Linked DNA regions of Mus musculus. The protein of the gene in region 2 interacts with the protein of the main gene of each other region in a pairwise test. Links are inferred from orthologs where the notes say so. Each region holds a gene or a part of one and is shown on either strand. Other genes may lie near its edges. The genes, in order: Cep57 and Ralbp1.

Evidence for each region.
Region 1: the proteins of Ralbp1 (region 2) and Cep57 interact in binary tests that used the Homo sapiens proteins (3 or more experiments, as listed by UniProt). The two-hybrid records come from large-scale screens. The link is inferred for Mus musculus from reciprocal best matches to the Homo sapiens genes RALBP1 and CEP57.

Annotation. Positions count from the first base shown.
Region 1 is NC_000075.6:13,808,640-13,824,510, forward strand, and holds part of Cep57 (centrosomal protein of 57 kDa), read right to left. Parts: intron 13,045-15,871; coding exon 12,888-13,044; intron 10,400-12,887; coding exon 10,220-10,399; intron 9,806-10,219; coding exon 9,684-9,805; intron 8,365-9,683; coding exon 8,248-8,364; intron 7,494-8,247; coding exon 7,416-7,493; intron 4,882-7,415; coding exon 4,771-4,881; intron 4,072-4,770; coding exon 3,994-4,071; intron 2,224-3,993; coding exon 1,988-2,223; intron 1,366-1,987; coding exon 1,221-1,365; intron 258-1,220; exon of another isoform or gene 202-257; coding exon 1-201. UniProt on the Homo sapiens protein: Centrosomal protein which may be required for microtubule attachment to centrosomes. May act by forming ring-like structures around microtubules. Mediates nuclear translocation and mitogenic activity of the internalized growth factor FGF2, but that of FGF1.
Region 2 is NC_000083.6:65,844,239-65,859,613, forward strand, and holds the end of Ralbp1 (ralA-binding protein 1), read right to left. Parts: intron 14,897-15,375; coding exon 14,735-14,896; intron 13,556-14,734; coding exon 13,424-13,555; intron 9,962-13,423; coding exon 9,854-9,961; intron 8,574-9,853; coding exon 8,452-8,573; intron 8,006-8,451; coding exon 7,882-8,005; intron 5,958-7,881; coding exon 5,712-5,957; 3' UTR 4,177-5,711; downstream 1-4,176. UniProt on the Homo sapiens protein: Multifunctional protein that functions as a downstream effector of RALA and RALB. As a GTPase-activating protein/GAP can inactivate CDC42 and RAC1 by stimulating their GTPase activity.

The DNA.
Region 1 (15,871 bases), on a different chromosome or scaffold from region 2:
TGAATTCTGTATGGTCTGCATGTCCTTCAGTAACTGAAGATTTTTCCTGCTTTTTTCTCCAGGTCTCTGTTTGGCCAGATCCTTCTTACTTGCGGTCCTTGGGACTCCAGATGAACGACCGCTGCTGTTCCCTTCTTCATCAAGAGTCTTTTTGTTAGCTTTTAATTCCTTCTTCTGCTTATCTATGTTTTGTTTCTCCAGCTGACCAAATAATCAAAACAGGGAAAAAATGAATTCAATAAAAACATTTTCTTTTAGCTTTGTTTTTGATACGAGGTCTTGCTATGTTCAGTCTTAAACTCTTGATTCTTCTGCCTCAACTTCTTAAGTACACCATTGACTTAAATAATCTTCCTCTAACACTCAAGTGATAGATTCTAGGTGGGTTTTTTTAAAAGCACATAGATCTGCAGAAGTTATAAATCACATATGTAAAATACACAGCCAGGTAAATAAGTGCTATATAAATACTGTAAAAGTCTCCTTAAGGAGAGAGGGACAGGCTTCGAATTCTCCCTGCTTGACCAGACTGTAAACTCTAACAGCTACTAGTTAGTTGTCAGTCCAGCACCAACAACCACACAGGATCTCCTTGGGCAGGTTATTTCATTTACTGAGATAGTCACAGTTACTTCACCTATAAAATGGGTTTTAAGGAAATGAAGTGAGATGGCATTCTCAATATACTTGATTCTGTGCCAGTGAAATAGTTCTTCCACATCACACAGCATTTGGAAGCTTGAGAGGGATTTTTTACTTCTAAAACCTACTTCAGAGTTGTCCACTTCTACCCAGACTCCAATTGCTGTCAACCCAGGAGCTGGACTCTACCCCTGTTCTACCCCTATTTCACAGCAATCTCAAATACAGTCTGTTTCTCTAGATGAGAACACCAAGTAGGCTTATTAAATGTGAGTAACCCTTTTCCTTTTAGTCATTATTTAGTATGAGCAAACATACTACTTTTTTTTACATATTTAATCTGACTTTGAAAATTAAAAATTCTAGCTGTATTTTTAGACAATTTAGTCAAACTAAACCACTTAGTTTTGTTCATAAAGCCAAGGATATTAAATATAGTCAGTAAAGACACATCTTATATGAAATATAAGAACTAACACTTCTTAACACAGACTGTTAGGAAAATCTCCAGAAACAGCTTAAGCATCATCAATTAATATACATGAAGGGGGAAAAAACGACAGAAGGGCAGGAGTCACCTGGGCTTGGTATTTTCGAACTTTAGTTATCTGATTGGCCTTCGCTTCCATTCTTCCCACTAATGCCTCCAATTCACACTCCAGGTTGTCTTTTAGTTCCACAGTTGGTGATTCCTGTATGAGTTTAGTAAGCTGCTGATGATCACTGCATACAAACCACAAGGGAGACTACCTTCAGTTCCTCATTTTTAAGTTATGTCCTTTATATTTCACTATGGGATTCACCACTCTTAAAAAATAACTCCTTTTAACAAACTGCTGCTCTATACATGGGTGGCTCATAACCACCTGTGACTTCAGCTCCAGGGGCTCTGATGCCCTCTCCTGGCCTCCTTGGGGACCTGCACACATGTGATATATACATAAATAAAAACAAAGGTTTACAAAAATGAAGATACATGCAAGTATTCTTAATCCCAGACAAATTTGGGTCCATCCAGGGTTGCAGGCTAATATAAACTTTTATCTGCTTCTCCCATCAGCATCACTTATAAAGTAAATCCTCTGGGACACTGGCTTTCAAACGCTGTCCTAACTCATTAGTTATATTTGGATAACCCTCAATACTACTGAGCTTTTACCTAAGCCTTGGCATTTGACATCTAACAAAATAGAAAGGGAGGCTTGTTTAACTCCCAGCCAGTGGGCTGGTGTAATGGCTATGTTCAACATCAGTGAATAAAATTAGGATTAAAAATCCAAGCTGCTAGAAAAAAATGAGATTTTAGAACTAAATGTAATTTTAAATTCAAAAAGTCAAAACTCACAAGCTCATTTGCCCAAATTCATCCTGTAAAGTCTGCAAGACATCCGAAAGTTCTTCATTAACACTGCTGGAAGGAGGCACCACTGACTTCTTACTCTTACTAACTCGTGAGCAAGCTTGCTTTGCCAAGGGAACACTGTTAACAACTCGATCATTGCACAGGGCTTTACTGTGGTGTTTCATCAGATGCAAGACATGCTGAACATTGGCTACCACGGCATGGCTGGGACTGGTGGACTAAAGAGAAAAGTAAATCAAGCAAATAATGTCCTTGATTGCCAGGTTCTAGTTTGTAACCCGAGTAAGAGTTCATCTCTAAATCCTAAGGCATAAATGTACTATACTGTGGCAAATTGGCAACTAGCCATCCACCTGTATCAAACACTTGGCTGATGTACTAACGTCTTCAGTTAGTAATGAACACCCTGCTGGGGATGTGGCTGAGTTGGCAGGTACTTAAGGAGCATGTAAGAGTAAGAGGCCCTTCTTTGGTCCCCAGCATCATATAAATTGTTGCACACCTGTAATTCCAGCACTTAAGAAGGCAGGAGGACCAGAAATTATTTATCCTGTGCTATAGTGGAGTTCAAGACCACATCTAAAATCAAACAACCCAACTGACCTTCTTGCCTCTTGTAGGAAGCGCTAACGTTTATCTGCCACAACATAAAAATACAATAAAACTTCATAGCTTTCTTGAACTTGTTTCCAATAGGAAATAACAATTCCAATAGTTGGCTGGGCTTGTTTAAGCTCCATAAGTCACCAGCAGACTTAACTTGTTTAAAATGCAGATTTAGGGGAATAACTTAAGACCTAATGTGCTTGTTGTTTAAAAATGTTTCTGTATTATTTGTTAATTTGTCTTGGCTAATTGTGGTGGGGAAGAATCATACACGCCAAACTCAAATGAGGTGATCCTAGGAATGAAAAGGTGGCCCATGACCATCAGAAAGAGTGAATACTCATTACTTGCCAGTAAAACACACACACACACACACACACACACACACACTCTCTCTCTCTCTCTCTCTCTCTCTCTCTCTCTCTCTAATGGCCAATGTGTATACTTTAATATGCAATGAACAGATTTTAAAAAGTTTTGTTACTGTTAGAAGCTCAAGTAAACAATTGTGTTTTCTTAAACTTTTGGAATAACACTTCTAAAGAATATATAAAACAACTTCACATTAAAGAGCCTTGTCTTGCCCTTTGTGATTAAAGGCTTCAATGACAATTTGCCAAGACAACAAAATGGGTGGAAAGGACTCTAGACAAGACTGGACAATACAAAGATGAACCAATTGTCAAATGGAATAGGTAAATGTATAATTACAGATTTAAGCATACCATATAGGGACACCATGATGGTTGCTGTACAAGTGTTACGATTTAAGTTCTATCTACAGAACCCATGGTAGAGAGAAATCCCATCAGGTTGTATCCTGATCTTCACATGTACAGGGTCAAAGTGCCCCAACTCCCCATTTCTTCACATTGAAAACAAAGTTTGTAATAATCACAGAAATCAAAAAGTAAGTTTGTGTAAAAAATAACTTCACAACTGTACTTATAAAGGCTTATACAAAGACTCAAGAAAAAAACCTTAGGCTGTGCCTTCTACAAGGTTTTACTAGAACTACATATGGTGGCTCACATCTATAATTCTAGCACTCCCAAAGCCGATGCAGGATTTTTCTTTTAATGTCCCCTAAAATGTGTTTTCTGAAGACTGAAATAAGGTCTGAAAAAATGTCTCAACAGTTAAGAACACTGACTGCTCTTTCAATGGAATTCCACGTTCAATTCCCAGCACCCACATGGCAGGTTACTCTAAGCTATAACTCTAGTCCCGGGGGACCCAACACCCTCTTCTGGCCCCCGTGAGTACTAAAACAGACAGGACACACAGACAGGCAAAACACCCATATCCATGTTTAACAGGAAATAAAAAAAGCTAAAGATACTGAAAATATTTTAAACATAAAAACAATAGCTACAACTCACCGTTCCAGCAACAAAAGGCATATCACCTAAGCACAATCTGTAATGTGGCTGTGCACCAAAATAGGTCCTAGAACCTTTCTGGATGGAGAAAAAAGAAAATCATTTTATTTTATTTTGGTGAGCTAATCCAAGACTCCAGCTCACTGTGGAACTACTGGGTACCTTGGTGTACCACTCTTTTTTTTCCTGCAGAAACCAGGCTTCAAGAAGTTACTTGGCCCAGAGTTTAATAAGATAAAACTCATTATGGAAAAAGCATGGCAACCATAGGTCTGGGAATGGGTGTGTATTCATCACACTGTACCATCAGTCAAGAAGTAAAGATAGAGGACAGGAAAAGGGTCAGGCTAAGAACCTCAAGGCCTACTTTCCAGTGATTTAATAGGGGACGTTTTATATTCAAACCACACTTGTTTATATTGGGATCGTATAGTGCTGGCTGAACAACCTCGTTTTACTTGAAGGCTAAGGAGGTTGTGGGGAATACTAACAAAACAGATGCAAGAATTAAGTAGAGGAACAAAGCATTTTAAGAGAAAGGTAATGAATACAGGCTGAATATTTTTAGTATTTTTATGATCTTCTATGGTTCCCAATTTTCATATAGGTCCTCAGAACCAAGGTAAGAATTCATGAGTAAATCTTACTTATCTTCACCTTTGAACATGGAAACTAAGAATGAGAGTTACCTCCTAAGGTTCTAATACCACACAGCTTTGAGTACTTTTTACACAAATTTTTACACAAAATTGGTACTCTGACTGATTGTTTTCATACCTTTTCTGGTGGTTTTGACTTCTTTTTTTTTATTTTTCTAGTGCTGGTTGAAACACATGAAGTAGTCTTATCTTCAAAAATAAGTCTATTTGCTTCTAGACCACTCTGTAACTAGAAAAAAATAGCATAGAGTTAATGATGTAAAATAAAAGCTACAACTCACATACGAGGCACCATTTAAGTCTGTACAATACAGTAGTAATCATTTCAATGAGACAGCATGGATGTACTGTATGTCTTTAGCCTCTCATTTATGTGAACTGCTAAGCCACAGTTGGCTATGTACTGCCTGGAAGCACTGTTTCACTACTGGTAGGTAGTATGCAAATTCTAGTTCAGAAATTAAATGGAATGTACACAGCTCCATTTAATGAATGAATGACAGCATGCTATGTTCACTTTTAAAAGCATGATTACCGTAAAAGTAGACCCAAAGCAACTCAAGAGCAAAATAGATTCCTTCCTGTTTAATGCTCAAAAGTAGCAATAATTATTTCAGCAATCGTTATCTTTTTAGTAGAATTTCTACACTCCTCTGGGCTGGAGAGACTGATGGGCTTAGGAGCACTTTCTGCTGCTCCCATCAGAGAAAATGTTCCCAGCAACCCCCACATGGTAGCTTTTAACCATTTACTCCCAGGTTAAATGATCAAGAGGGTCCAGTACCTCTGGCCTCTGCAAGCATTGTACACATGTGGCACATATACAAAACATGCAGGCAAAACTCCCAAATACTTAAAGCAAATCTTGGGGGGGGTGGAGGGAGACGCAAATTCCTTCAAACTCTCTGTCAATGGCCATTTTGTCTCCCTATATAACAAAAGCCTGGAGTTTGGTAAAAATTCCAACCAGCAGATTTTTTTCTCTAAAGTGTTTACAATTTCTACACGAGGCAAAGCTCCCCAGAAGTTATGACTGAACTTTAGGGAACAGCAGAAGTAATGAATGAAAAACAAAGAACACCGAGCACCCCCTCCCGTCTCATGCATGCTTAGGACAGGGTCTCCCGGCAATGGCATGCCAGCTCTCCACCCTCGGGAGCATGGCAGCCTTGCTCATACTTTATTAATAGTTTATACGAGACCTAACTCCACAGGAAATCATCCTTACAGTGTCAAAAAGTGTCAGCTCTAACAGAAACCCCTTAAAAGTCACTTTTCGATTCTATCTTATCTATCTAGTTTTCCTTGCTGATTTCTTTTATGTATGCCTGAATTTTAAAGTACTTTTATTATCATTTCTCGTTTGAGTTCACTAGCACTATAAAACCCAGGCTCTAGATGGCTAAATAATCTGTTTTGGATTATACAAACCGGAACCAACAAGATACAGAAACGCATCTGCCTTCCACTACCATGGCATTCACCATCACAACTCAAACTTGAACAATTCATCAATCAATGAGTCTGTGAAAATTTCTATTTGGCATATAAGGGCTATACACTAAAACTGAATAAAAAATTACCCATGCATATGCATGGTTACATTTAAGGAACAGAAACACAGTAAAATAGTTATCTCTAAAGTTGGAAGAAATTCTCTAAAAATCAAAACTGTTTAAATGGCCATTAACCCAACAAGTACACAGAGAGTAAATTTACCAATCTTATCAATTTTAATATAAAAGAATCAATGACTCAAAGAAGCTCCAGAAAAAAAACTGCAATGTTTCTATTCCTACAACCGCATCTAGACACAGTGCCACAGACTCAACTATCAAGGCTCTACCAGTAACTTCAGATATCAGAACCTGCTTCTATGGGTTACTATGATGAAAGTTACATACATTGTAATAATCTTAAAGGGTTGGAAAAGAGAGATTATCTGGAAGATATCTGAACAAGTAATCAGAGAAAAGTCTCTAGCCAAATCATAAAACAATTTTATCTTGTAGAGTCTAAGCAGTACTTTATTATTCTTGCAGTATCTTTGATAATGCAGTTCTGGTTGGAATACATAAACTGATGCTTTCAATCTACACAATTCTACCTCCAGTGGCTGGCCACAGATTTCAAAAGTAGGAGAGAGTAGAGTCCGTTCTTTTGCTAGGGCAGGCTGCTAGCTTAACAAGTCTGTCCTGGTATGTTAACAGTTTTGTTGCTGCAGTGCTGAGGACTGAACCAAGTGTCTTCTGAATGAATGCCAGGCAAGCGTTCTACCATTCAACTTTACCTCCAACCCAAGGCATACTTTATACTGGGTACTGAACGAGCTAGTAGTAGCTCATCAGACCTTAGCTTTACGTGACTACTACTCTGTCTGACCTGTTTTTACCTCGCACGTACATTCTAATTTACATGTATGGATGTTTTGCCTGCGTTTATGTATGTACATGTGCCTGGTGGCCAGGGGTTAGAAGAGTCAGACACTATGGAACTGGAGCTGAAGATGAGTGTGAGCCACATGTGGGTTGTGAAGACAACAAAATGTTCTAATCCTCTGCAATCCCTCCGGCTCCAACCTCAAAGGTTTTTAAAATACTAATTCAGACTCTGCAATTTGAAACATCGAAAGAACTGCTCAAATTTTACTTTGTAGATTACATTCCTGATTTCCATTCCTAAACTATCTGAGTCTCCACATGAATGTGCTGTGCTTGTGTGGGACTGTCCTCCATTAAAGCACTGGTCCCTCCTTGCACTCACCTCTGCTGCCCGGGCCTGCATCCGCTTCCTTTCCTGCTCTTCTTCACGGAGTTTGGACTCCAACTCCTGCATCTTTTTCTAGCAATAACAATATCAAAACAGGAACGGTTAAAAGTATCTTTTTGTAGAATTTTAAGGACAGTTAAAATAAGCATGTTAATCCAGGTGTGGTGGCACACTCCTTTAATCCCAGCACTTGGGAGGCAGAGGCAGGCAGATTTCTGAGTTCGAGGCCAGCCTGGTCTACAGAGTGAGTTCCAGGACAGCCAGGGCTACACAGAGAAACCCTGTCTCGAAAAACCAAACCAAACCAACAACAACAACAAAAATCATGTCAGTTCATGCCACTAGTGGTTCAGGCCTTGATAATATCCCTACCACTTGCCTAATAGTGTTCTATTAGATCAACTAACAGTAATTAGTGAGGTAGGTGTGAGTTAAGTGGCCAAACTCTGAAAGAAAATCTACAACTGAAATACACAGGTTGTACAAAGGTAAAGACTACATAAAGACAAATCAAGATCTTCACTCAGTAGTATTAATTATCTCCAGGGTAAAACACAGAAATAAAATTAGTTCAGAAAAAAATTACATGATGCCAGATTTAAGTATCAAAAAACACTTTACCTTTCAGTTTTCAAAAAAAAAAAAGAACTACCTATCCTCAGCCACCAAGACTGAGGAATCTCAGCATTACTTTTCAACTGATCTTTTTCTTTTCAAAGAATCTATGTGTGAGAAAGACCTTTACGTTATAAATACCCATGTTTATGCAAACAGTGACAGCCACAGCATTCTACATCAGTAGGTAAAAGTCATGTTACTGACTTACTTCTGCAAGGGCCTGCATGGCGGTGAGTTTGTTGTATTCCTGTTCAAGAAGATCCAGTTTTTCCAGCTGGCTCTGAACATGGGTTTGATCATGCTGCCGTTCTCTTTCTAGAGAAACCTGAGGAACAGCATCAAGGTAAGTTGCTAACTTTACACTATAATATGATAACTGTAAACTGTAGGCTCTGCACACAGCCACATCATACTATATGTAATTTGCCTGTCCTTTCAGACTTGCTGATACGGAAAGAAGTTCTAGGAATAGAACATTAAGACCTCAAGGGTATCAATGATCTCCGTGTCTCATTTTGTTTGTGTGCCACGCACGGCATGCCTTTGAAGGTCGGAGGACATCATATTCAAGCTGGTTCCCTCTTTTTGCCATGTGGGTCAGAGGGATCAAATTTGTTCTTCAGGCCTCACTGCAAATACCTTCACCCACTAAACTATCTCATCAGCCTTGGAATATAATTCTCAACATACAGTATTTTACCTAGTATATGCTTTAATATAAGGAAAATATCCTTATACTCTAGACTAAGGAGAATTTATTAGACATACAAACTATGCAAATACACAAGTACTTCTAGTCAGTTGGGTCCTACTAAGCAACCTCTTAACAGATATGAGAACGTGTATGCATTTATTTACTTTGAATACAGATATATTCTTTTTTCCTCCAAATGTAGGGTCTGATTTGGAAAGACTGTCCATATACTTAAGGAATGAATCTCCAAAAAAAGAAAAAAAAAAGGGCAAATACACTAAATGGTTATATTTGTAAAAACCCAACATTAAGAATCTGAGTCTGCCATTTCTGCACATGTCCATGACAATGGGGAATTACACAAGAGAAATTTCTAATCAAACTTTGCATAGTAAAGTTAAATTTTTCATATGAAAAGGATGTTTAAAAAATATAATGGACACTGATGTTGTAATTGTCCTCTACAAATGTAGCAAGTTACTTAAAGACAAAGACTTTGATGTAACAAAAGAGAAGTATTTTGTTAAAATGTACAATTGGGCAATAGCTCATTTGGTAGAGTGCTTACCTAGCGCAGAGTATAATGTATAACACCATGTATAATGCGCTCCAGGTGATCCCTGCACAGCAGAAATGAGCCAGCCTAGGCATATGAGATCCTCCTTCAATAACCAAATTACTTATAAGGTATTTTTTTTAATTGCAAAGAATTCTACAAAAAACAGTGGATCTCAGTGGTACATATGGTTATTTGCTTATTAATAATGCAGACTCCAAGACATTAACATGATTATCTTTCAAACAAGCACAAGTCTACCAAGTACAAGAGTCATAATCAATAGAGCCAATCAAGCCACGATCTACTCCACTGAGGCCAAGAACTTACAGTATAATAACAGTGCCATCAGGCCTCTGTCACCATTCTTGATTTCATCTGAGAGGTGCCGTACCTGCTTTTCTAACACAGATGTCCTCTCCATTTCTGCATGCTTTATCATATTTCGCATGTATTCCAATTGTTTTTCTAGAAGATTACATTTATTTTCTGCAGCTACCAACTGGGATGCCAGTTCTAAAATGAATACATACAAAAAAGTAGTAATTAGTTAAGACAGTCTTGTCCCAACAGCTTGTAAGCAGGAAGTGAACTTGCAGTAAATTCATGGGGCATAGGTAAGGTTCACGGTAGAGTGCCTGCTCGGTATGCCAGAGTACCACAAAAGAAAACAGCAGCCCTCCCGGCCTTCAGCCTCTTCCCTTTCAGTACTCCTCAAAACCTTTCCGGACGACTTTAGGATCTTTCTTACTTGCGTCAAATATGCCACACACTGCCAGTAAGCACTATGCACGACGTCACTTGCTCCTCACAATACACATGATTATGATGTAATTCCTTACCAGTGACCACTACAAAATACCAATGTGGAATTGTGAACTAACTTACAGTATTTGGATAGATTTTAGTTTCCTTTATAATTAAACACACCTTGATTGTGCTTTGATTCTTCATTCTTTGAGTTCTCCCTCTCTTGGATCTGTTCATCCAATACTTTCTTGTACTCAATGGTTTCCCTAGACAAGGTTTTCACACTTTCTTCTGCCTGAATCCTTTCCAGTTCCAGGCGTCGAATCTTATCTTGAAGATTCTTAAGAGCAGAAAATATGGCTGACAAATATAAAAAGCATACCGCACCTTAAGTTAGCTATGCACACAGAGAAGTTAACCAAGAAAGGAAATTTTGTGTTGGCAGATTCTGTACCCCAGGATGACCTCAAAAATCACAGTAACCCTGCCTGAGCCTTCGAAACGCTGGGCTAGAGGTATGAGCCAGAGCCCAGCTCTGAAAAGAAAGCTGATGTAAGCCAAGCAGCAGAGCACTTTATTCACAAAGCATTTCCTGCTAAAGTCATTTCAAGGCATCATCTGAATTCTTTAAAGTTCTACTAGTTACTCAAGTAAAAATTAAACAAGAACCATCACTGTGTTAAAACCAAAAACCTTGGCTAATTATACATAAATTAACAGCTGTTCTAAGGTACTTTGAGTAAAAAAAAAGCCCCCATAGGCTTCTATTCTGGTCAACAGGGAGTGGTCCTACTTGTTGGAAGAAATGTCACTAGGGGTGGGCTCTGAGGTTTCAGAAGCCTAAACTAGGCCCAGTCTCTCTCTCTTCCCGCTACGGGTTCTACTGCTGTGCACAGACACTATAACCAAGGCAACTCTTATAGAACAGTCCCAAAGAACATCAATGTTGTCAACCCCTTGGCCTCTAGATGATGCACTGAATTCAGAGCCACTATGGCTGTCCACATAAGACCCTAAAAAAAGTGTCCTAACATTGTCTCCTGGAAGGTGAGGCTCATAGAGCTTACCAAACAGCTCAGGAGGCAATATAGAAGGCCCTCTTCCTAGAGATTCCTCAGAGGTTGATAATTACTGTCAGTTCAGGGGAGACTCTTCATTAGTCACCTGTAAATTGCCCATGTTCATGTGAAGAAGCTCAATAAACTTTTACTTCATCAAACTCATCTTTAATAGAATCATCTTGTGGTGGTTTGAATATGCTTGTCCCAAGGAGGAGCACTATTAGAGTTGTGGTCTGACTGGAGTAGGTGTGGCCTTATTGAAGGAAGAGTGCTACTTTGGGGGTAGGCTTGAGACCCTCCTCCTAGCGGCCTGGAAGCAAGTCTTCACCTGGAAGTCAGTCTCCTGTTTACCTTTGGAACAAGATGTACAACTCTCAGCTTATCTTAGGGTCTTAGTGCTGTGAACAAGCACCATGACCAACACAAGTCTTATAAATGACAACATTTAATTGGGGCTGGCTTACAGGTTCAGAGGTTCAGTCCATTATCATCAAGGCAGGAGCATGGTAGCATCCAGGCAGGCATGGTGCAGGAGGAGCTGAGAGTTCTACATCTTCATCTGAAGGTTGCTAGCAGAATACCGGCTTCTAGGCAGCTCCAATGAGGGTCTCAAAGCCCACACCCACAGTGACACACCTACTCGAACAAAGCCACAACTTCTAATATTGCCATTCCCTTGGCCAAGCATATAAACAGCTCCTCTAGTGCCACACCTGCCTAGACACTGCCATGTTTCCTGACATGATAGTGGACTGAACCACAAAAAAGAAAGCTAGTCCCAATTAAATGCTGTCCTTTGGACAAGAGTTGCCTTGGTCATGGTGTCTCTTTCCAGCAATGGAAACCCTAACTAAGACTATCTCTTTGGTCTGTTGTTGATCCGTCTCTGAGGCAAGCAGACATTTATTTGTTCATGTATCCCCAGCAACAAGGACACAATAGATATCACAGTCTTTTTGTTATATGAACACACAAGTATATAAGTATGCGCATGGGGGTCAAATATGCACTTGGTTACCGACTTCAGGTAACACATGTTTGTTCAGCCAACGTCTTTCACAACTGAGGCTCACTGATTAAAGCTATGTTGGCTGAACAGTGAGCTCCAGAGATCTAGCTATCTGCCTCTGCCACAAAGCATGGGAACAGAAACTCTAACCCTAACCATAAAGGTCCTAGGTTAAAAATAAATAAAGTATTGGTTTCGTTTATTCTTTGACACCTTTTTTAGGTCCTATTTACCACTTCCTCTCACACTCTCCAGGAACACATACATCCACTCAATGTCTGTCCTCTTTAGAGAAATAGAACGCAGAGTCCAAGTAGTGCTTTCTACAAGATGACCCTTACTTTTTACAAAGGTATTTATTCACTTAATGGGTATGGATGTTTTGCCTGTATATATTTTTCTGTGTACCCTGTGCATAAAACTAGTGTCAGATTCCTTAGGACTAGAGCAACAAACAGTTGTGAATTGCCATGAGTGCTGGGAATTGAACTCAGGTCTTCTTGAAGAGCAGCTAATGCTCTTAACTCCTGAGCCATCTCTCTGGCCCCTACCTGAGACTTTGGTTTCTGACTGATTCTGAAGATGACAGACTAGTGATAAGTGTCTCAAAGTACTTTAGGTTCCATGATTTGGTGAATAATGTTCAGCAGTCTACATGAAAAGCACTCAAAAGTAAAGGGGAAACTTATACTGTTCTAATATAAAAATAACATGTCATAGGTAAGAAGTTTCAACTAATGGGTGAACAAATAGCATTTACTTTGTTACAGTTGATTACCTCTGCTGTTGCTTTCCGGATAGGCAAATGTGGGCTTATTTGGGGAGCGTCTCAGATCACTGTTAAGGAAAGGCTTATCAGGTGGATACAATACATATGGAGACGAAGAATGACGAACCATATTTCCATTAGACCTTGATGGTTCAGCTAGGACGCTCTGAAAAACAAAATACTGTAATTATCTTTCAAACATTTAAACCAAATACTCATGACTGAGAACCCAACCACTATTTATTGTCAAGATATATAATTTTTAGAATTAAATGTTTACCTATTTATACATGATCATACAACCTAAATACAAATATTTAGGCAAGTTAAATCTTTGTTTAGATCAGAAACAGATACAAATTGCTGAATCACTCAATCATCGGTAAAGAACACAATGTTTTTATCTATTACTTGGGAATTTCACAGCGTGCACTCCCGTCACTCACTTCGTCACTCACTTCCAAGTCCTATGATGCCAACCCCCCCCCCCCCAACCCTCCTTGTGAACTGCCTAAAAACCTATTCACTGGAGTATGGTCAAATTCCCAGTGACCAGACTCTTAAAGAAAACTGAGTCTTTCTCCACCTGCACCCTTGCCAGAAGCCATCAATTGTGAAGGGCTATACTTCAGAGTCTTTAATCACAATTTTTGAGGTTTTTTTTTGTTGTTCTTTTTGTTTGTTTTGTTTTCAAGACAGGGTTTCTCTGTGTAGTCCTGGCTGTTCTGGAACTCACTTTGTAGACCAGGCTGGCCTTGAACTCAGAAATCCACCTGCCTCTGCCTCCCAAGTGCTGTGATTAAAGGTGTGTGCCACCACTGCCTGGCTCAATTTTTAAGCATTCTTTTCAATTACTTCTTGTTTAGGTTGTTACTTTGGGAGTAGGGGGTGAGTTTTCTGGAAGCCTTCTATGTCCCCCTTTCTGAACTGTGTATCTGTAGTCCTCAATGCCACTACAAAAGGAACTTCCCTTCCCTGTAGTGTCAGCATGAGCACGGATCATGGACTTCTACATGGCTTCTGGCAAGAGCATGAACCATGAATATCATCAAGGATTCCAGCATCTGCACACTCCAAGAACCTTAGCATGGTCTCCAATGACAGTACAAAGAAATCATGGCCACCTGTCAAAGCACAAGCCACAGGCACCATCATAACCCTCAGCTGCAGCAAACCAAGGACAACACATGACCCAGTGGGTCAACATGGTCCACAGAGGTCCATACAGTCCATGGCACAGCTCAGCCCCCACACACCATCTGCATGGCTTTAGGCAGCAGCACAGATGAGACTGTACAGCCTTCAGTGGTAGCACAGTCCATGGACATCAACAAAGCCCTCCAGCTTCAGTGGGACTAGTGCCCTAGACAGAGCCTCAGGTGGCTTCACAGGTCACTCACATCAATATGGCCCCGGTTGGCAGTATGGGCTCTGGGCAGCAGCATAGAACACTGACATCTAAATGGCCCTTGATTGTAACATCTGCATGACACTAGGTTCAGCCCCCCCCCCCCATCCTGAACCCAGGCATGGTCCTCTTGTGGCAGCTTAGCCCACAGACACCAGCATGTTCTTTTCTTAAAGAATTTATATTTAGTTCCTCAAAGGGGGAAACAATTGTAAAACATTCAGGCTTATGAGATATTCTCATATAAAACTATTTCTTCACATACACCATCTGTCATGAATTTGTCAAATTTGACACTATGCTCTACATGATATAAATTTATCATAGTATACCTCTGAATGTTAACTGGAATTTTAGTAGTAGTTGTTGAGTTTATAGTGTTTAGACATTTAGGAAAGAAGGAAGTAATGGAGATTCTAGACTGCCAGCTGTTCAAAATTCTCACATACTCATTTGCTCTTTCCAGAATGTCATACCAAATTAGGATTTTCAATCTTGTATTAGTGTAGTCTGTGTAGGTACAAAAGAAAGAAGAGTATTCATAACAATAAACCAAGTCCTGGAATAAGCAGAACTATCCAAATACCTGTGTGAGAATAAAAGTTTGTTTTGAGGACTGGAGAGATGGCTCAGTGGTTAAGAGTACTGACTGTTCTTCCAGAGGTCCTGAGTTCAAATCCCAGCGACCCCATGGTGGCTCACAACCATCTGTAATGAGATCTGACGCCCTCTTCTGGGGTGTCTGAAGACAGCTACAGTGTACTTAGTTGTAATAATAAATAAACCTTAAAAAAATTGTGTTGAAGGTAACCTCAAAAACAGTTAAGTTTTCACTTCTTAAAATATTAAAATATGGTCAATGTTATTATGAATTGTCTGGTACCTTGAGAACATTGTGTTTTTATTGGTTAGCTAGAAATAGCTAGAATCAGCTAGAACCCCATCATTTAACATCAAACTAAGCTAAGTGATAACACTAAGTGATTATAACAAAATCACTTAGCTTACAATTCACAAAAGAAGCAGAAAAATGTATGCAATCACTTGAACCAAAAAACTAGTTCTAAATAGAAAACCCAACTAGCTCTTCCCTCTTCCAAACAAGCAGCAAGCATGTAACCGGTCTGTCTCTACTTAGCTTTTTAAAGTCTTGCCTCCAACGATTAAACCCCTCCTGGTGCCTCTTGTTCCCTTTCTCCTCTACATCTGTCCCAGGGCCAGGAAAGGGGAAAGAGAAAACCTTTTCCTAACCTACAAGACTCCTCAACCCTAGACTGATTTTGAGGTTTTTAAAACTGACTTTACTTCCCAGAACCCACTTAATGGTAGAAGGAGACAACACCTCCAAAGCTGTCCTGTGTCCTGTGGCGGGGGGGGGAAGGAAGAGGTAGGGGCATCATCATGCACACAATTAATAAAAACTATCAAAGACGCAAACAGCTCATCAAACACACCCATTACTCTCCATTGCTAACTTCAACAATCTCTCCGAAGCATGGCTCACTTTGCTGTCATTCACCTAAACCCTCAGTGGAGGAAGCAACAAGGACTGTCCCTTAATCCCACAGGCCTCTCCTTGAAAACC
Region 2 (15,375 bases):
TGAAGCTTTGGGAGTTAACCATGATACCAACACTTTAGATTTTCTTAACCCCCTAGAACTTCAAATAGAGCAGCTATCCCAGGGGAGCAACAATTGTAAAATTGGCAGCTTTTGTCAAAGACAAAAGTTGGCTCGTCTGGCTGCTTGGCAGGCAGTAGGCAGCATGGCCCCAGCGCTCTTTAATGCTTTCTCTACTTAGAGCTGGAATTTTGAGATCTACCTACCTGCGGTCTACAGCCTACAGCCCCAGACAGCAGCCAGGAGGATGAGCATATATAGCCCAGGGAGAATCTCTTCCTCCATATCCACCTGTCCTGACTATGCTGGAACCCCCAGTCCCAGGGTAATTGGAAAGACACTAGTTTCTCGTCTCAAGCTGTAGTGACCATAAGTGCCGCCATTTGGAAAAGGCTGGGCAAGTGTCAGCTTGGCCCTGGGTCACGTTCATGTAAAATGCTAGGCAGCAGGGATGTGTGCCCAGGGGTGGGGGAGGAGGGGCAAGGAAGCAGGATTCTAGAAGCTCAGTCCCGACGAATCAATGTGAAACAGGAGGAATAGTAAGGTTCATATACTCAATGGAATACTATTCCACTGTAAATAATGAAAGCATTAAACTTGCAGGTTAAGTGGGCAAAACTAGAAAGTAGTATACTGAGCTCCTGCCCCCCCCAAAGAAAACAAACACAATATTTGTTTTCTTATTTGTAGATGGTAGCTCCGAATCTTCAGATGCAAATATACCTGGAGTAATCAGATACCAGAGAAACGGGATGGTGTTGTGGGAAACACTAGATGGATAGAGACCTGCCTGCAGGAGAGGGAGAAGGGGTAGCGAACACTAAGGCTACTGAAACGCTACAGACAACATTGCACCATGACTCAAAATTACAGAGCCAGCTGTGGTGTGCACCTTTGCCGCTCAGCACTCAGGAGGCAGAGGCAGGTGGATCTCTGAGTTTTAGGATAGCTAAGCTAAAGACTTTGTCAGAAAACCTTATGTATATTATCTATGTTAACATACAAACATGTAAGTTCATATGTAGTTCAGTGGAAGTTTTGCCAATTAGTGACACTTCCTCCAAAATACACAGAACAGCTAACAGACATCATCTCAGTGCTGGGCACAGGGAGCCTCCTTTAGAGTTGCTGGCCAGTGGGCAGTCCAAGAGATCCCCAAACGATACAGGCCTTGTTGTTGTCGTTTATGCCGTCCAGGAAAAAAAAGACAAAACCCTACTGCTGAAGGCAACCACACACTTCCAACACAGGATTTAACCTGGAAGCCTTCTCGCTGGGGACTGGCTCTCAGGATGGAACCATGCAAGCCGCTCACAGCAATGCTATTATCAGTACCATCTTGCTGTAATACATTAGTGACCATGTTGAAGTAATGGCTTGTACATCCTATGGGTAGCCAGCAGTCGCCTTGTTGGACTTAAGGCCCACTTAGTAGAGAATTCATGCCTAGCTCTATGAACTCAGCCAGGTACCACGTATGCCTGATGAGGACCTGGAGCCCAGATGGCCTGCAGCCACTTCCCTCACCAGGGTCATTCTAAACTCATCCCCATAACCACAGATTGTCAAAAGCTTCTTTTTTGCAGCAGGCAGAGATTACAGAAAGCCACAGCTGGTGATATGCAGAGATGGACTGAGGTGTTTGATCCAATCAATATATCTGCAATACGATTTGTACACTGAAGGCTGGTGAGCAGGAGCGGGGGAAGAGGATAGTCTAAGCCAGAGGACTAAGACATCTGTCTGACAGTCTCTTCTTAAACCGACAAAAGGACAGACACACAGAGGGATGAGGTGATAGGATCAAAGTATGTTATATATGAAATCCCATAAAAATAAGATATATTTACTATGTAAAAAGATATTTAATACTAATTAACAATCAAGAAAAGACACCCAATGTCAGCCTCTGGCCTCCACACACCATACATACAGTAATAGACTTACCTACAATAGACATACAACAGACATACAGTAACACACAAAATAAACTGTTGATGCAGTCTTGCCTGTGCCCTGGCGCTTCATGACAATATGCAGATTATGTCCTCAGGAAACGTCTATGCCTTAAAGCCCTACACTAGGGATTAAATCTAATAAACCTTCCTTTTTGAAATGAGGATTTTTGTTTTGTCAATGAGAAATGAAGCCCTACAGGATAAAATTGCTTACTGGGGGTGAAGCATGCAAGCTATGTATTTCCTGTGCCTCCCTGAAAGCCGTTTCTCACAGTTGAGAAGCCCAAGCCCCAACACTACCAGACACCCAGGGCCCCTTCGCCTGAAGTACATACACACCTGAAGAGAGGCAGGAGCCTGCACCTTGCTGAAGACATCACCAGAGGACATGGTACTGAGCAGACGTGAAGCAGTTTTAAAAATTAACTACAGCTCACTGCAAATGAAGCTATTCCTCTTTCCTCTGTCAAACTAGAACAACTTTTCATGGGTCGTACTAATTGAATGGTGGCAAAACTCCAGATTAGAGGGGACAAGCATCCAGGCTGGAATTGGGCAGTGGGGGACGTGGACACAGCAGCAGCACCTTACTGCTCTGCAGAGGGAGCCTGTATATGGGAATTTAAGGACCCTGCTACTTGGTCCTTACTTCCTGGGTCTCCTGAAGTCCAGTATAGAACCATTTACTAATTATGCATCATCTTACAAATGTGTAATCTTATCACAATCTCTCTACCTAGTTGATAGGGGTCTTTGATTTGTTTCTACTGAAGAATATCAACTAAGCTTAGATCATACTCAGACGAATAAAACATTAGCAAAACGACCTGGAGGAAGGTTCCAGAAAGCCCAGTCTTCAGCTGGATTCACCAGCCAGGGTATATATTGTGTGTGTGTGTGTGCGTGTGTGTGTGTGTGTCACCAGCCAGGGTATATATTGTGTGTGTGTGTGTGTGTGTGTGTGTGATATTGTGTGTGTGTGTGTGATATTGTGTGTGTGTGTGTGTGTGTGTGTGTGTGTCACCAGCCAGGGTATATATTGTGTGTGTGTGTGTGTGTGTGTGTGTGTCACCAGCCAGGGTATATATATTGTGTGTGTGTGTGTGTGTGTGTGTGTGTGTGTGTGTGTGTCACCAGCCAGGGTATATATTGTGTGTGTGTGTGTGTCACCAGCCAGGGTATATATTGTGTGTGTGTGTGTGTGTGTGTGTGTGTGTCACCAGCCAGGGTATATTGTGTGTGTGTGTGTGTGTGTGTGTGTGTGTGTGTGTGTCACCAGCCAGGGTATATATTGTGTGTGTGTGTGCGTGTGTGTGTGTGTGTCACCAGCCAGGGTATATATTGTGTGTGTGTGTGTGTGTGTGTGTGTGTGTGTGTGTGTGTGTGTGTACAGGCCTGCATGAGCACACATGGCATGTGAAATGAGAAAGCTGATATCTGTGTCCTCTATCACTATGCTTTACTTTTGGAGACAGGGCTGGCCTCTGAACGCAGAGCACACTGACTCCCCTAGAGCAGCTAACTAGCATTTACAGGATCCTCATTTCCACCAGGGTAGAATTACAGGTGCTCCCAGCACTCCTGGCTCTGTACATAGACACCAGGGTCTATACCCAGGACTTCATGCCCGGTGTTGTTCAGTACAGAGCCGCCTACAGAGAAGAGCACGGTGAGAGCCATGAGTCCCCGCTTGGGAGCTGATCCTCTTCGGGCCCTCATTTCCAGATCCCTGCCTGAAGTTAAGATGTCACAGCAGGGTACCTGGAACCTTCTGTAAAGCAACATAAATTCTGTGGTGCAGTTAAACTACTAGCTACAGATTCAGATGTTTGTCATACATCTCTAGCATGCTAGCTGCTCTAAGTCCTCATTTCACATGTAAAATGCAAACCTCTGTAACCTCTAACAACTGGGCCAAGCCTTCTGGACTTGACCTAGAAGGCAGAGCTTGCTTTCCCAACAGCACCAGGAAACTGTCAGGTTCAGGAACTGCACACAGTCTGAGCAAACCCTCCCAGTCAGCAGCAAGCACGGTGGGCAGAGGGCCAAGAGACCACAGCAGGAGCACACACACAGCATGGGCGAGGAGCGAGGTGGAATAAGGCTTCCCACTCGCTCTCCACCTTGGGCATCTCCACCAGCTTCGTGCCAGATGCTGGCTATGCAATTATTTCAAAGAGAAGAGTGGACAATAGAAGCCTTTTTTTTTTTTTTTTCTCAAATGGCTGTTGAATTTATTTCCTTGATCAATAATGGTCCTGGCAAAAATTAGTTAACCAACATCGAGACATTTGTAATGAAATACTAATTTTAAAAACCCATGATACCTTGATAGAAATTAGAGTTTACACAAACAAAAAGAATTCTTCAATATTGCCAGCAAATATAAAGTGGATGTTGTACACCGGACGGGATGCAGCAAGGCGTTTGTACATTTATATTTGACACCTGACCATATTTCCAGTCACCATAATATCTTCTCTCCAGATTTAAAAAAATAGTATGCTGATTTCTATAACAAAGCTTTTTTTCCGTACAAAAATCAAATAATGGCCAACAAGTCACAACAGTGCAATAGGCAGAGGCGAACAAAAAACCGCACAAAAGACAGGCGCTGAAATAAATACTAACTAGGAGGAGACCAGAGCCCTCCTGTGGGTTTGTCGCTCACTTTAGAGTGTGGGATTTGTCTTCAGAGCCACAGGGGACCTCCCTGGGGGCCACTCATCTGACAGTGAGATCTGGCTGCCTAAGAGGCAGGCCTCCCAGACTCGGGGAGCAGTCATCTGAGTTAGAAGCAAACACCAGGTGGGGTCAGTCACAGCTACCGGTTCGGCTCGGTTCTGTCAGAGTCCTTATAGCAGCCCCTTGAGATGACGCGGAAAGGTGAACGTTCTGCGTGAGAGCATTTACATGGCTTATCCTGGCAGAGGTGTGTATCCTAGCCCAAGCTAGCAGCTGAAGTCACTGTGGTTTTCTTGGAAGGTCAGTGTGGAGAAGGGCTCTGGTTTGAGAAGCTTCCTGTGCAACGCCTCAGAGTCAAGGTGGTCACCTCCGACCACCTCAGAGAAGAGGCCTTTGCTGATCCCTGGCAGTGAGTGAGTGGCTTGCACTGCCCAGGCTGGTGGCAGGCTGCACAGGTAACTTCTGTCTGCCACCAACCTGGGCCGTCCTGACTCACACAGACAGACCCAACTCGGAAGTGGAAAAGCAACGTGGTGCAGGGAACCCCAGCGAGAGCCTTTCTGGCCAGTCAGAGAATATGAGGCAGCTCCCCACTGAACAATCTGCACCAAAAGGTGTGGAAGGCACAAACAAGAGTGGCCAGAGACCCTGCAGGGCTGGGGAGACCACGAGCGTCCACGAGGCAGGCGCAGAAGTGACCTGATTTGGTTCCTACCCTTTGATAAGAAAGAGAGCCTGATTCTGCTGTGATTTAAAAAAAAAAAGCCAAAGAAAAGAATTTTTGGTTTAAAAAGAAGCCACTCAAAGGTTAAAATAGTTATTTTTAACAAAGAAAATTATTTTTCAAATAAGCTGACACTATCTGGAAATGCCTGTGTTCCCTGCAAGCCCCCCGTGTGTCCACTGCTTCAGCCTCCCAGGCCCTGAGCCTGACACGGAGTCAGACGTGTGTGAGAGGGGACGTCTCTGAGAGCGAGCCTTTACAGAGTGTCCAGCAGGCAGGCGGCTCACTCACACTCACAGTAAGATGCACAGGGCCCGGCCCGCAGCTCAGATGGGCGTCTCCTTCCGGTCTTTGCTGGGCGAGGCCTTCGCCTGCTCCTTGGCTACCCGCACCTCGAGGACACCGTCACAGGGCGGTGGGCCTATGCCCCCTCGCCTCTCGGGCTCCTCCTCCTCCTGCGGCTGCTGCTCAGACTTGGCTCGCTGCATCTGGAGCAGCCGGAGCTGCACTCGGAGCTCGATGATGGCCTCCCGCTCCTCATGGACTGCTTGGTTCAAGTGATTGTTCTTTATCTTAAAGAATGACAGAAAGGGCAGTTACCACTTAAGGGCACAAGGAATCTAGGCAGAGCACAGGCTGCAAGCCATCCTGAGAAAGATCTAGTTCTATTCTAGCCAGCCTGGCTGGTGCAGCATTAGATAAGAAGATGGATATGTGGCTAGGGTACAAGCATCACTCTGAATGCCTGAGTATGGACTCTGAGTTACAAAGAGAAACACATTTAGGAAACGATGTGTCACCAGAGCAGTGAGGACAGGGGCCAGGGCTGGGTAAAAGCTGAGACTCTTCCCAAGTCAAAGTCTCTCTTTACTGACCACATCTGAATTGTGCTCCTTGAGGAGTGTGGGAACCACAGCTGCTTAAATGCTGGGGACTCACTCATTCAGCAGGAACTCACGGGTAGCTCACCCCGAGCTCCTGCAACCGCCCCAGCCATCGGAACACCCTTCTTCCTCGGGATTTCCCCGCATCCTAAGCAGCTGTGCCCACAACTCGACTTTGGTTCAGTGAGGTGAGCAGAGGTGCCAGTCCCACTGCTCGCTCGGTGTGACACTGGGGAAGCCCTGACCCGTCCCTCCCCAACTGAGAACACGGCGAGATGCAGGGGAGCCGCTTTGGCTCGAGCAGGCCCTACGCCACGTGCACAACAGAACACTCCCGATTCTGCCATTTGTTCCTGTTCAGGAAAATGGAGATCAAACCAGGTTGCCAATGTGTCTTCTAAATGCCAGAATTCCCAGCAACCCGTCTCACTCACACTAACTTCCTTTCTTATGTTTTCCAAAACAAGGTCTCAACTCTGTAGACCAGGCTGGCCTCAAACTCAGAGCTCTGTGCGCCTCTGCCTCCTGAGTGCAGGGATCCCTTAAGGGGTACAGGTGCGTGTGTGACACAGGTGTGTGCACGTGAAGGGAGTTGGCTTTAACTCCGGGCCTCAGCCTCACTGCAGCCCCTTCACCAGTGGGGCCATGTCCCTGGATCCTATCACACAGTGGATAGCAGAGTCCTGGGCAATCCTTAAAATATTATTTTTATTTATGTCTGTGTGAGTGTGTTGAGTCCCTTAGAACCAGAGTTAGACAGTTAAGAGCTGCCATGTGGGTGCTAGGAAATGAACCTGGGTCTTCTGGAAGAACAGCCAGTGCTCCTAACTGCTCAGCCATCTTTCCAGCCACAGTAGTTTTTCTATCTTTCTGTTGTTTTTCAAGCCCCAACTGTCCTGGACTCACTCTGTAGACCAAACTGGCCTCCAACTCAGAAATGCCCCTCTTTGCCTCCTGAGCCACCGCGCCCAGCCTCTGTGCTTGACCCCATGCGCACTTGCCTGGCAGGCAGTTCAGTGAACATGAATGAAGCAAAGGTGTCTGTTTACCTAGTCGTCCTTACAGAAGACAATGTTTATTCAGGATGAAAAGAGAACCCCGCTTAGGCCAGCATCTCCCTCTCAGTCCAGCTTCCTAGGCATCCTGTCACACCCACTCCTCTGTGGTACCCCACAGACTACAAGAAAGCCACTGCAAGGCGACTTAGGACAGTGGCCAGGCGCCTCTCACCTCTTTTAGGCTCACTTGTAACCAAGGTCAGGGGAAAACGCCCCACTCCAGACAGCCTAGAGCACACATTTCATCCTGCTAACAATGCCCTTGAGGGCTGGAGAGATGGCTCAGCGGTTAAGAGCAGTGACTGCTCTTCCAGAGGTCCTGAGTTCAATTCTCAGCAACCACACGGTGGCTTGTGACCATCTGTAATGGGATCTGATGCCCTCTTGTGGTGTCTGAAGACTGCTGCAGTGTACTTCTCATATACATAAAATAAATCTAAATAAAGTAAATCTTAAAAAACAAGTGTTCTTGAATTCCTCTCCACCGTAAGTTTCCAGTGAGAAAATAGGTGGTTTGTGGTCCCAAGACCCTCTGGAGGCTGTCCCCCACTCACTTCTAACTCCTCGTTCTGCCGCTGCAGGTCCTCCAGGATGAGCTGCAGCTCCTCCTCGTCCTCGCTCTCACTCTCGCTGTCGGACGAGTACTCCTCCGTCTCACTGCGGCCATGCTGCTGACGGCTGTGTGGAGACGAGGCAGCACTACAGTGAACTCCGAGGCCGGCTAAGACCCACCCACGCCTGAGCATCGACCTGACCCAGTGCTGCCTAAGACCCAGTAAGGAGCTTAAAGTGACTGATTTCAGAAACCCAGTTCTTTCCAGGAATGTCTAAAACAGTGGTTCTCAACCTGTGGGTCACAAGCTCTATGGATGCCAAACAACCCTTTCCCAGGGGTCGCCTAAGGCCACCATCTGCATATCAGTATTTACCTTACAACTCATAATGGTAACAAAGTTACAGTTATGAAGTAGCAAGGAAACAATGTAATGGCTGGAGTCACCACAACAGGAGGGGCTGCTAACGGCTCCATGCACAAGGAAGATGAAAACCACTGAACTTTTAGCTCAGCTCTGCTCATATACAGCACAACCCGGCTGGAAGCTTCCAGTCCGAGGCCCCTGTACCTCTGGATCTCCGCAATTTCAGCTCGGAGGCGGTCGATCTCTTCTTTCTCTGAGGCGATCTGACGACGCAGGAACTGCTCCATGGCCAGGAGCTCCTCCTGTTCTGTCAGGATTTCATTCTCCTGAAACAATGACAATGGGTGGCACCTGTCTGAGCTCTGCTAGAGGAAATGCCACCTCTCCAGAGCCTCTCCTGTCACCCTGCTCGGTGCTGAACACAAGTTACTACAACAAAACCATGCCACTGTCTCAGAATCAAGAAAAGCTACACCAAGTCACGTTGAGAGAAGGTCTAGACCCTTCTTAACAACAAAGTGCACACAAGGGCCAGCTGTAGCTTCTGCAAGGCTCCCATGAGCCCCCTACACCCCGGCAGAGGACCCAAAGGCAACATCTGCTTTGCCTTGCTCGCGGCCGAAGAGACTGCTCGGCGGATACGAGCACTTGCTCTTCTTCCAGAGGACCCACATCTGGCTCCCAGCAGCCACATCAAGGACTCACAACCATCTGTTGGAGGGAGGTCCAACACCTTCTTCTGGCCCAGGGGGGATCTGAATGCATGTATGTGCAATACATATGCACAAATAAACATGATCTAAAACTCATCAGCTTTGGCTTCCTGTCTCTCAGGATTCAGGGTCACAGTGACTTTTCAGCATCACTAGGAACAGGACCCAAGAGATGCATGTGTGGCTGGTACCAGTGTCAGGTGTGGGGCAGAACAGACAGAAGGAAAGGTTACAGGATCTCCCTCACTGTCCCCAGCCACGCCCTTCAGATCAAAGTAAGAACTCTTGACAGGTTAACCATTCCTAAACTGCTTGAGAGCAGTGATGTGGAGAGCGCCCTGCCTGCACTCCAGCTAGGGCTCTCGGGTCTAGAGCAAACAGTAGAGAGAAGATGCCTTGGAGGCAAGAGCACCAGCAACTCCTTCCAAACAAGGGGCACCGTGGGCACCGTGGGCACTGTGGGCACAGTCCAGGAACCACTGAAAAGTTCCCGAGTGAGAGAGGCCACTTCTCCATGCTCAAACACAGACCCTCGTCGTTTACCTCAGAGCATATATGGATGAAGTTATACTCCAAGAAAGCTGAGGTGGGAAACTCTAAGAAAATCATCTGGGGCTTCTCTCTCCTCAGAGTTTTTGTTTCTGTTCTTGTAAATCAGGAACATGCCACAATACTTCTATGTCGACTTACAGAAACGAGGAAGCTAAACAGAAGGCAGCTTCTTTCTCCCTCCACACTTAACATTTCAGCACACACAGCACAAGGGTAGGGCCACAGAACAGGAACAACTTCTTTGGAGTTCATTACAATTTTGGTTTTAAAAAGTCTATAGTTGTGCTTCTATTTGAAAAATGACCAATAAATCCCTTTAGAAATCAAAAGGTATAGCTTGCCTGGGCAAGAAGGATATTTATAACTTCTTCGTTTTCATTCATTTCTTCTTTGGAAACATCCTCTTTTGAAAGACTAGCTATCTCCTGTGCAATCTTGGTTTCACACTCCTGTCAAAGACAACACATGATGAACTGTTCGGCCTACATGTAACACACAATCAACAAATGGTCCTCTTAAATTACAGAAATGAAGAAAACCCCAGCAGCAGTAGGGAACTGTCTGTAATGATGACCGGACATTTGCTAACTAGGCTTAGAATATACTGTAGGTAAGAGCAGGGATGGTGGTACCCGCCTTTAATCCCAGCACTCAGGAGGCAGAGGTAGGAGGAGCTATGTGAGTTCAAGGCTAGCTTGAAGTTCAAGGCCATAGTAAATTCCAGGACACCCAGGACAACAGAAAGACCCCATCTCAAAAAGAAAAAACCAAATCAAACCATAAAAGACTATGATGTGGTTCGAGACTGCAAGGTGGCCCCGTGGCAGACACTTGGTATCAAGAAGCCTTCCCTAGGACTCACACAATGCAGAGAACTGACTCTGGCAAGTTGTTCTCTGACTTCCACACTCGTGCCACTGCATGTCCATACCCACATGCACACGCACACACAAAGAATAAACATTTTAAAGTAAGAAAAGACCATGACATGGTTATCTCGGTCTGTGGCTACACTATGAAAAATGCTTATTTCTGATGAATATGCTCCCTTAATCCTGACTGCATGAGATGTCTTGAAGGGAGCTACTGGGTGTCAATTTCATAATGTAACTAATTTTACCAAATACACATAGTCAAGTAACCACCACCACCCTGTTAGGAAACATTGCCCTTGCTCCATCTGTTGGTGCCCAGCACCACAGACCTGCTCTCAATCCTAACAGCTTCTCTCTCGGGTCTCAGATGAACTGGCTCAACAGGTCATTTCTCTCTAGCTTTATACTTGGCTTTAAGATGCTTCTGTCTGTTATGCTGGTGTGAGTAGTTGCTCAGTGACAACCAGTGTGTGAACTGTGGAGAGCTTTTGGAGCTGCTTGGCAGAAATCTGACATTGGGGTCAGGACAGGGAGGTAGGTTTCAGGCAGGAATCTAATTTTGGGTCAGGACAAGGAAGCAGGCTCAGGTAGGAATCTACTTTTGGGCTAGGACAGGAAAGGAAGTCCAGGCAGGAATCTGATTTTAGGCTAGAACAAAGAAGTAGGCTTAAGCAAGAATGTGACTTTGGACTAGGACAGGGAAGTAGGCTCAGATATCTTGGTCATCCTGATAAGGCCTAGAAACTTCGATCCCGGGGCTTTGTTTATTGCCTTGCTTGTTCCTCGCCTATTTGTGTTTATTGTCTTGCTTTTTCCTTAACCTAGAACTGACCTAATTACTTGCATGTAATTAAAATGGTATAAAAGCAGATTGGTAAAAAATAAACCCACCTCAGTCTCAGAGCTGGTTGGGGTCATGCTGCAATGTTGTCTAATTGTCTTTTTTCTTTTTACTCCTTGCTCTTGCCCTGGAGAACTTGTTGACTGACTGAGCTGGCTTGGTCAGATGGTGCCCAACGTGGGGCAGAAACCTCCAGAGACCCAGGGCAAGAGTTAAGGAGGACTCTGGAACTGTTTGTTCCTGAGGTGTGTATGTGTGTGTGTGTGTGTGTGTGAATGAGTGTGAACCACCCAGAGGGTGAACACGCACCAGTGAGATACAGGTAGTGAGGGCAGAGGGAAGATGGGGAGGCTGGAATGAATGCATCCTAACTTTATACCCTCTCACCAGCTGCAGGGCTCTGGGGCTGCTGCTTTAGCTGTTATGAACAGTCTGCAAATGTTCTGTGAAGGCTTATGGGTTGTGGCTGCTTCTCTTAGAGGATAATGGCTGAGTGAAATTTCTGCACTATACGATTGATAATTACATGGTTAATTTTTGGGAAAGTGCCAAGATGATATCAGGGTTAAACTGGTGCTATATTTTTCTTATTTTCAGTCACTAATCCACTGAATGATACTTCTTTAAGTAATTTCTCCCTCAAAAGAGAAGCCAGCATGAAGGAACCTGAGCATGTAGTTACAAAATAAGTCATCAAGGAGAGGGAATGGTCAGGGAGAGAATACAATTGGTAAGAGGAAAAAGAGAAGATAGCTGTCCCTTGTCATACAACCACACTGCCTCTGATATATGTATGTGTGTGCTCACAAACAAGTATAGTCATGTACTTGTATGCACATTTGTGTGCACGTGTGTAGAAGTCTTTGTTGGGTGTCATTCTTAATCCATTCTCAAACTTTTTTTTTTTTTTTGAGTCAAGGTCTCTCACTTAACCTTGACCTCTAGACTATCTGGCCTTCAAGCTCAGGGACCTCCTGTCTGCCTTCCCAGTGCTGAGATTACAGGTATAAGCCATAACACGCGAGTGCTATGGACTGAATTCTGGTACTTATCTTTGCAAAAGCAAGCACTAAGCAACTAAGCCGTTTCCACAGCTAGAGTCCTTTTATTCAACACAGACACACATAACGAAGAGACACAAAAGCCAAACATCCATCTATGTCCCGGACTCTTCACATAAGGGCTGCTGGACAACGCAATTAGATCAACAACTGCAATCTGCCCTGGGAAACTTAGGCACACATCCAAAGCCAAGCATGGTGGCCCATGCCTATAATCCAGCATGTGGGAGACAGAGGCAGCAGGATCCAGAGTTCAAGGTCACCTTGGCTATAGAACAAACTTGAGACTACTGGCCCACATGAGATCTTATTAAAACAAACAAACAACAACAACAACAAAAAGAGTCCATGAGACAGAGGAAACAAAAGATTGACAGTTTAGTGAGCTGGAGAGAAAAACAAAAGGAAAGGTTCCCTCCCAGATTGAAAACTGTGTGCAGCTACAAGGATCTCAGGCTTGTGCTCTCAACAAGTGCCGTATCCTTGAAGCAAAAGGCCTGAGGTGTTGTCTTCTCACAATGACCCACAGCTCCACTCTCCAGGTCCCAGAGGTGTTAACTAGTGTCCGCAGGCTGTGCTACTCAATCTGCTGCTGGGTCTGCATGTGGCTTGTACGACCTTTCAGAGGTGTGGATTTTAGCTTTGATGTGACTGGGAAACTGAATCCAGACTCAGCTTCACACACTAAAGTAGCACAAAACCACAAGTGGGCCTTGTGCACTCCCAACAAAGCAGCAGGGCCACACGGTTCTTCCCTCCAGTGACTGCAAAGCAGAATCCGTCCTGGGCCTTCCAGCCCTGCATTTCCATTCAAAACTCAAACTTCTCAGCAGTGTCTCTCACTCTTACAGCTCTGTCCACAGACACAAACCAGGCAGGAAATAACAAGATCACCTTTGTAATTAAAAAACAAAAAGTCTTTCTAAACTTAATGAAATATTTGATTTATACCACACTAAAGTATGAATAACACAAAGCAGGAAACATTTGTGTGAATAAATTTCCCACCAGAGAATTTAGCATCAACAGACAGGTATGTTCTACTTTTAAAAGAATATCTTACAGCAGTGTACAGAAGGCTCATCCACACTTCCTGTAGGTTTATTAGACACAAGATGTAAGAGAATAACTCACTTGTCTTTTAGCTTCCCTCAGCTTTCTCTTGAGGGCAGTCAGAATCCTCTGTACTTCCCATAATCTTTCTTCTTTAGATAAGTCCTTTATCCCGCCCTGCAGATCTCGATGTAAACAATTCAAAAGGAACTCCTAGATAACAAAAGGATACATGGTGTCCACTGGTCTTGTTATCTGACAGCAGCACCTGCAGTTTCTCAGATGAAGACCCCCAGCTCTCGATCTGCACAGCAACAGCGACCTCAGTCCCTTATTTTTGGAGGTTCAGTAGTAATTAGCCCATATCTTTGCTCTTCCTTCTCTCCTCACAGCAACTGGTAAGTAGAACTCAGCCAACAAGGAAAACAGGCCTGTGGTAATAGTCATGCAACGCAACCAGCGTTCTCAAGGTTCTACTCGGTCTTGAGTTTCTTACCAGTCAGTCTCAGGCTCTCTGCCTCCCCTGACACACTTGTGCGTGTTCACACACACACATTTGCTGGGTTTCTTCTAGATACCAAAGTAGTACAGTGGAAAAGCTCCATGCTTGAGCTAATCTTGGTTACATAGTCTAGGAATTATGTCACAGTATCTTAGCTGTAAAACAGGATGGGTAACGTGTTGCACTTTGTCCAGAAAAGCAAACATGTTTGAGATCCTGGCTATGGGCTGAGTCCTTCCCATGCATTATTCCCCACATTCATTCCCTGAGTTGATCCATTCTAAAATGAGAATACCAAGGTTTAAGGAGGTTGAACAATTTGCCTTACATTAGCATGTCAAGGATGAGCAGAGGGCTGAGGAGATGGCACAGAGGTTAAGAGCACTGGATGCACAACAACCATCTGTAATGGGATCTGATGCTCTCGTCTGGAGTGTACTCATATATATGTCAAAAGAAGATGAGCAGAGTGGAAATTTGAAACTAATTCTTACAGTTTAAAACCCTATGCTATTGCTATTTCTAACACGGCAGCTCACTCACACAATATGAACTAGGACAGCTGGAAATGTGCCCTGAAGAACATGCTCCCAGGACAAGGGCAGAGCTCAGTGGGTAGACACTTGCATAAGGCCCTGGGTTCCATCCTCAGCACTGCACAAAACTGGGTGTGGTCCCACAACTTCAGCACACAAGAGGCGGAGGACTGTACACAGGAACTGCACACTACTCCATAAGCTAGGGCTGACCACCTCCATTCCACAGCCCTTTGTGGGCAGCACAGAAGCAGGCAGGGAGGGCTGAGGAGAGAGAAGGGCAGGGGCAGGGGCAGGGGCAGGGGCAGGGGCAGGGGCAGGGGCAGGGGCAGGGGCAGGCAGGGCAGCACACACCTGTCTCCTGATCTCCTCCTTGATGCCTGCTTGGGTCTCTGGCAGTGTGGGCATCGTGGCCATGTTGGACCAGCGCAGAGGTCTTGTTACTTGCTTCAGGACCACGGTGCCAAAGAGCTCTTGCACATGTGTGAAAAGCACGTACAGGACCCGATTGCTGATCTGCAGACAACAGATTCAGAGGTGCGTAAGACCATGAAAGTGATCTTTACCTTCGCCAGTCACACTATGCAGCCTTTAACTCTGGATACTATGCAGGTCTCCACGGGGGACAGAACAGGCTTCACTAATGATCAGTTTAGGTGAAAGCCCGGCTTGAGTCAGGTTCTCAGGCAGTATAGCTGGCAAGCCGGGAAAGGGCACAAGACACACCGCCATCAATGTGCACTTTCTAGTCATCCGTCAACGGTCATTTCCTACATGTTCGGAGACCCGTCCACACAGAGTGATGCTCCTGCAGACAGCTGGGCGGTGGCGCACCTTCAGGTGTATAGAGCTCTCCAGCACACAAGCTCCACTGTTCCCAGATGTTCCCATCCTAGGAAGCCAGAAGGGCAGGACGGCTTTTGCCTGGCTCAGACTTTCTCTTACTCTTGGAGCTTCTGTAGTTCAAGCACCCACGTTAGGGCAATACTGAGTAA